Cricetulus griseus: one gene and its partner. The main gene of each other region encodes a partner of the protein of the gene in region 2 in a complex. Links are inferred from orthologs where the notes say so. Each region holds a gene or a part of one and is shown on either strand. Other genes may lie near its edges. The genes, in order: Emd and Banf1.

The links.
Region 1: the proteins of Banf1 (region 2) and Emd are in contact, whole or in part, in a crystal structure (PDB 7NDY), measured with the Homo sapiens proteins. The link is inferred for Cricetulus griseus from reciprocal best matches to the Homo sapiens genes BANF1 and EMD. Residues at the interface, in NP_001137457.1 of Homo sapiens: Arg37, Phe39, Gln48, Val51, Leu52, Lys53, Asp55, Leu58, Glu61, Trp62, Asp65; in NP_000108.1 of Homo sapiens: Pro22, His23, Gly24, Pro25, Val27, Ser29, Thr30, Arg32, Leu33, Tyr34, Lys36, Lys37, Glu40.

The regions. Positions count from the first base shown.
Region 1 is NC_048604.1:1,458,403-1,461,250, reverse strand, and holds part of Emd (emerin), read left to right. Parts: intron 1-1,126; 5' UTR 1,127-1,281; intron 1,282-1,825; 5' UTR 1,826-2,131; coding exon 2,132-2,213; intron 2,214-2,377; coding exon 2,378-2,485; intron 2,486-2,612; coding exon 2,613-2,690; intron 2,691-2,848. UniProt on the Homo sapiens protein: Stabilizes and promotes the formation of a nuclear actin cortical network. Stimulates actin polymerization in vitro by binding and stabilizing the pointed end of growing filaments. Inhibits beta-catenin activity by preventing its accumulation in the nucleus.
Region 2 is NC_048596.1:53,965,320-53,969,355, reverse strand, and holds Banf1 (barrier-to-autointegration factor), read right to left. Parts: upstream 2,711-4,036; 5' UTR 2,573-2,710; intron 1,960-2,572; 5' UTR 1,944-1,959; coding exon 1,821-1,943; intron 1,302-1,820; coding exon 1,155-1,301; 3' UTR 773-1,154; downstream 1-772. UniProt on the Homo sapiens protein: Non-specific DNA-binding protein that plays key roles in mitotic nuclear reassembly, chromatin organization, DNA damage response, gene expression and intrinsic immunity against foreign DNA.

The DNA of each region.
Region 1 (2,848 bases), on a different chromosome or scaffold from region 2:
CAGGTTTGTGCAAGAAAACCACAGTTCAGATTCCTGATAACATCTGTGATAGGATTTTATAGTGGGATAGTGAGGGGATTAAGAGGCAGTGTGCTGAGGCAGGTGCAGAGGGTGATCCTTAGGGAGAAGGCAAACCTAAAATTCCTTGACCTCATAAGGAAGCAACTTGATTCTGTAGGGGGGGCATAGGGTAGTACTGAGCAATCACTCTGTATGCAGAGGCCTCTGGGAGAGGGGCCAGCATAGGGGGAGGGAAATGCTGGGAAATCTGATTTTGCCAAAACTAAAAAATATTCATGAAGCAGCCTCTGAATGGACAGAATGTCTCTCTCTGCCCTACTCTGTCTCTCACTTACACACACTCCTGCCCAAGGTTCTCCTGTCTCTTCGTAAGACAGTATCTTTTCCAGGGATTCATATAGCTCCATTTCCAGGGACAGAGGAGGGCACTGTCTTTTAAATCCATTCAACACCAACCCTTCTTCATTAACGACTTTTTTATGTGGTCAAAACAGGGCTCCTTCTCATCATTGCCTACTTTAAACTTCCATAAAGAATTGGCCTGTGGCCTTCACCTAAATGCCATCAGGTCAGCCTAGAACTGATCAGAACACTCACTATCACTATCATTTAAGACAGTGGTTCTCAGCCGGGTGTTGGTGGCGCACACCTTTAATCCCAGCACTCGGGAGGCAGAGGCAGGCGGATCTCTGTGAGTTCGAGGCCAGCCTGGTCTTCAAAGCGAGTGCCAGGATAGGCTCCAAAGCTACACAGAGAAACCCTGTTTCGAAAAACCAAAAAAAAAAAAAAAACAAACATAACTATAGAAAAATTATAGTTGTGAAATAGCTACGAAAATAATTTTATGGTTGGGGTCACCACAACATGAGGAACTGCATTAAAGGTCACAGCATTAGGAAGGTTGATAACCACTGCTTTAAGAGATCAGGTATCCCAGGCACCTTTTCTGCATGTACCCCTCCTCCTAAGTCTGTCCAATAAGGGGCAGCCTACCTAGTTCCAGATGACTTTGTGTAGAACAATAAATACATGGTCACTATTCGAGATAACCTTTGTCTGATACAGATCCTTTGTAAGCCTTAATTGATTCCCGGTTTGCCTCTAGGTTGTGCACCCTGATGGCCTCCAAGGTCATACCAAGTTTAGGGGTTATTCTACTCTGCCAAACAAGAACTCTACTGCAGAACTCTTCAGGGCCCCAGGTGGATGGAAATGTGAGTTAGACAGGCACAAAGTGTACCCGTCTACACGCATCACAAGGTGGGTGTCTTCTGATTATGACCACTGGCATGTCTCGGGGCCTTTGGAAGGCTTCTTGGTCCTGGAGTGCTGGCAGCCTCCCTGGCCCAGTTGCTTGCCCCATTTCCTCCCAGATGGAGCTAGGGGGCAGGCAGGGCCACGGAGACTGAGAAGACCAGCGAAGATGGGTGGGGCGGGCCAGGGGTCTGCGGGTGGCTACTTAGGTGATGAGAGCCCTGAATCGCAGCTGTTTCTTGGCACTAGTGTGCACAAAGAGTTCCCAGCAGTACCAGGCTGTCTGAAAGGGTTCGCTCTCAGGATTGGACTCTTTGCATTGCTGTGGAACAGACTGCCCCTGAGGACCATAGTTCGCTAGAGCACTGAGAAATAAAATCGGAGTGAAGCCAGTGACAAAGAGATCCCAGTCTCCCAACCACAGACCCTTTTCCGCCCCTCTAGCACATCTAACTCTTAACACACCCTCTGCTAACGTCTAGCTAACCTGGGTAGTCTAGTCAGCTGCTCCCCTGGCTCTCCTACAGGCCCCTCCCTCTTCCTGTTCTAGCCAATCCCACACAAGTGTGACGTTTACATTCTCCAGCCCCGCCTGTTCCAACCGCCAGACCGGTCTGTACCGGCCATTCTGGCGGGTTTGAGCCTGCCCTAAGGAGCGCGCGCAACTCGCGTAGCCGTGGCCGCGTAGCCGTGGCTGTGACGCAAACGTAACGGAGGCGTGACGCGACCACAACCGCTTCTAAGGCGCTGGAGCTTCCTTCGTCGCTCTAGGAGCTGTCCGTTTCCTAGGCCGTGTCCATAGGCCCGGGCCACCCCTTACGTTCAACACCGCTCCCCGGTGTCGGCCGGGTCTGCCATGGACGACTATGCTGTTTTATCCGACACTGAGCTGGCCGCCGTGCTACGCCAGTACAACATCCCGCATGGGCCTATCGTGGGTACGCGGCAGACTGTGGCGCGGAGAACCTATCCCAGGCCCCGCTTTCCCGCGCTCCTCGCTGAGCGTTATCCCCTACCTCCTCGTCCCCTCCCCGTATTCCCCGGCGCACTCGGGGTGCCCAGCTCGCACCCCCTGACCGCCTCGCACCCTGTATCTGACCAGGCTCCACTCGCAAGCTCTACGAAAAGAAAATCTTCGAGTACGAGACCCAGAGACGGAGGCTCTCGCCCCCCAACTCGTCATCCTCTTCATTCTCTTACAGGTTCTCAGGTGAGTCCCCCGCCGCAGAGCCTGGCTGAGCTGCTTGGAGACACAAGGCTTGGGGAGGGAGGGTGTGGCTGAAGCAATTGAGGGAATAGAGGGATGCCTAATGGTCTCTACCTCCCCCTTAATGCAGACTTGGATTCAGCCTCCGTGGACTCAGACATGTATGATCTGCCCAAAAAAGAGGATGCCTTACTTTACCAGAGCAAGGGTAAGACAGGTGTGGGGTGGGTCCTTTATCAGGGAATTTGGGCACAGGGAAACCTAAGACTTCACCCCAGTTCTCAATGGCTCTAGAGTGGAGAAACTGTCACAGCACACACACAGAATTTGGGGCCATGAGGTCACTTTCTCCTTTACCACTGTTTT
Region 2 (4,036 bases):
CTAGCCTTTCACCAGTCCCTAGGCACTGTATAGTAGCCCTCAGAATAGGTGTGGGCCCACCCGGGGCCTATGTCTGTTGTTATGCAAACTAGGAGACATTCTCCACTGAGGCCAAACCATCTGCTAGCAACCAGTTGGACATCTAAAAGACATGTGAGATTCGAGCTCCTGGGATAGAGTTTGAGGCCTGTATCTGAAATACCATAATTGATATTTCAGGCCCCTGACAGAGGGCCAAAGGTCTTCACCTCTCTGAAATAATTAAAATGCTTACAAAGATGTTAGTTTCAGGCCAGTTCACGATATGAGCTTGAAAACAACAGGACTGGAATTTAATTTTCAAGTTTAACTATTTCCTTTCATGTCTATGATAGCTGGGCAAACAGCAAAAGTACCACCCATTCTTCCCAGAGGCTACAAGAGCACATGACATGATGACTGTCAGGTGAACTCTTACCCACATCCCACCCACCCTCTTCCTGGTACCTGACTCCTACTAACTTTTCCACCAGGTGCTGCCTGAATCAAATGTTGACATCTAGAAGCCTACAGCCTACCTGGCTCCCAGGAAGAAATCAACCCACAGTCTGTCCCACATTATTTAGGATTGGGACACTAGGGCACCTGCCCAAGTCCCACATGGCTAGGGTGGTTCCCTCTTGGGAGGGGAAAAAGAAGCCACCAGTTTCGGTCTGCACTGATAAGATATGTTCAGTCCCTGGGGAAGACATAACTCCCAGCGCACCTGCTTTCCAACACACAACACCAATCATGAAGGCCACTGACTTTATTAGTCTAAAAATCTTTGTAAGGGCGGTAACTATTTTCGACAAAAAAGAAAAAAACAAAAAAAAGAGCCAAAGGACATCCAACAGATCGTGAATGGAGGGAGAAAAGGGCTAGGAATCCATTGGGGAAAGTTAACTGTTGCCATGGAACTGCAGGGGGAGAGGAGAAAGGCATGCAAGGGCAAGAATCCTAAAAAGGTTGAAACGCTGAGGGGAGAGAACTCCCAAAAGACCCTGGAGTACATAGGAGGTGAGTGTGACAACAGTAATCTTTCCCTTCACGGAGGACAGGGAGGAGCCCCACCCGGCTTCAGACTCTGGAGACTCAATATTGTGGCTGGGGGGCTGAGGAGTCCCCAGAGTACATTACAAGAAGGCATCACACCATTCTCGAAGGCACCCAAAACAGTCCCGGGACTGCTTGGCATTGGCACCACACGTGTCCTTCAGCCATTCTCTGAAGAGGTCTTCATCTTTCTTTAGCACCAGAAACTGGCCAAGGACCACATAAGCCTATAAAACAGGAAGGGCATACAGCTAAGTGCCTTGTGAGCAAAGAGCAACCTGAAGGGGCCAGATCTCTGAAGCTAGGCAAGTCAGCTGATAAGCACTTGAGAGGGCAAGGCCATTTTGTTTTGGTTGTTTTGTTTAAGACAGGGTCTTGCTTTGTTGACTAGACTGGCATTAAACTAGATGAGAATCTGCTTGCCTCAATCTCACAAGTGCTGGGGTCATAGGGAGGACCCACTATACCTAGTTTCATCACCTTTGTGGCATTGAAAACACTCAAAGGGTAGGACACAGTAGGGCACACCTTTAATCCCAGCACTTGTGAGACAGAGATCCTGTCTCCAAAACAACAACAAAAATGACTTTGCCTCCCCAGATGCCCCCAAACCACTTCAAATTATCTACCACTGTCCGTGCCCTCCCCGTACCCCTACTTTTCCTAACTCCCAATTTTTTTGCTTGGAATCATCTGTTGCCAACTTTCACTCCTACCCCTCCCTGGCATCTGTGGCCACCCCACACCTTGTCAAAGCCCCTTTCCTCCAGCTTCTTGCCCAGGACTTCACCAATCCCGGCCAGGCTCCCCACTGGCTTTTCCCCCATGGGCTCTGCCACGAAGTCACGGTGCTTTTGGGAGGTTGTCATCTTGATCAGGTTTAACCTGGGAATCCCAAAAAAAGGCAGGTTAGGGCTGAAGACCACAACTCCCAAGGGCAACCTCCTAGGTCAGCTATTGTGGCTGCTTCCTCGATTCCCCCTCATCTCACACCTGAGAAAATTGGGGGCCAGGGAAAGTCTTTCCCCCGCTATTACATCCTGAAATCTCCACTTTCTGTGGGCCCTGGGATTTGGTAATGAGCTTGCACTAACAAGTGGCGCACGTAGAGAAAGACTCACAGCCTCAGCAGCCAGGGCCCGCCCTGAAGCTGTCACTCTTGGTGACCTTGGCCAGGCAAACACTGACCCCGACCGGAGCTACCACGTGGTAGAAATAGCAGCAAAAAGAGGGGCTCGTTACCCTCGCCGCCCTCCACAGGCCAACAGGCGCCGCGCACCGGCTCCCGCAGCCCGCCGGAGCCCACGCCTCGCGGCTCCCAGGCCCCGCCCCGGACGCGCCGCCCCGCCTCCTCCACGCGCCGCGGCTCGCACGCGCCGCGGCTCCCACGCTCCGCGCACCGCCCCTCCCGCAAGGCCAGGCTGGTCCGCTGCAGAGACGCGCCTCAGCCACGGGCGCTCCTCTCCCTCCCGCCTCCGCCGCCTAGCCGGAGCCTTACTTCGCCGCTCACGCTCACCGGCAGCTCCGGCTCTCGTAACGGCTCCTCCCGCCACTCGGCAGCTCCAGCCGATACCTCAAGTTGCTAGAACGTTCTTCAACTTCCGCTTCCGGGTCGTGTCAGGAGCCGCCTTTAAAAAAAAAATACCCGAATTGGGCACGTCTAGCCACAGAGAGCCATAGAGTTGAGGCGCAACCGCTAACTGCGGAGCCCACAGAGGTCGCTGTTTTCCGGTCCCTCACAGGAAGCCGCGCTGCTTTCTATGGTCGTGTTTCTCCGGCCCCGCTTCCCATCTATGAGACCGAGGCCTCCGAGGAGAATACTGTTATCTTTTTCTTGCCCAGCACCTGGAACTTAAAGACTTAGGTGGCCTGACTTGGTCGAGGGAAGACTAAAGGAACGGACAAAGAAGGGGCGGGGCATCCGGAGGGCTACTGAGAGCCCCGGAAGTGCAATTCTCGCGGGTTCCTCAGAGTCAGGTCTATCTGAAGCCGGCTGACGGCAGCTGGGAACACCGGTGGTCTGAGGCCAGGCGTCCAAACCGGCGCGACCGTCGTGACCACCTGCCAGTCGCATTTCTTTGCTTTTGTTGACTCCGTCTTGAAGTGAGTCGTAGACGAGCTGCGTTCAGCGTCTACCTGGAAAACGTAGCTTGCTTGTGTAACGCCGAGCGGGTGAGTGCTGTGGGCGGCTCTTTTCTCGAAGGGTTTTTCGGCTTGAAGCGCTGCGGTGGTGGCCGAGTCAGTCTACACCATGAGTGTTAGGAGGACGAGCATCTGTTGTATGGCTGACCTACACTTGGGGGTGTTAAAGCATGTGGAGGAAAGTAGTTTACTCAAACTTCCCCAAAGACGTTGTCAGCCCGGGCGGTGGTGGCGTAAGCATTTAATCCCAGCACTCGGGAGGCAGATGTAGTCAGATCTCTGTGAGTTCGAGACCACCCTGGTCTACAAGAGCTAGTTCCAGGATAGGCTCCAAAGCTACACAGAGAAATCCTGTTTCGGAAAAAACAAACAAAAGGTTGTCAGAATGATCGGCCTGGGAGGTGCGTATGGTTTCATCGTCACGTCAGTACTTATTTACATTTTTTTTGTTAGTTATTGAGAGGATATCTCGCTACGTAGACCAGACTGGCCTCCATATGCTTTCGTCTACCTCTGTGGTTTGGGATTAGAGTCTTGAGATTTAAGGCTTGAGCCATCCCCCTTTCTTCCAAGTAAGACTATAAGACATGTTTCCTGGTTTCTTTTACTGTGTGTGGGTGTTACAGGTGTCCTTGGTGGCCAGAAGAGGGCATTGGATTCCCCTAGAATTGGAGTTAGAGATGGTTGTGAACCAACTGATGTGGGTGCTGGGTCCTGAGACATCTCTCCGGCCCTTAAACGTCATGTTTGCTTCATTTTTGAGACAGGGTTTCACTATGTAGACCAGGCTGACCTAGAACGCAACAAATATCTGCATGCC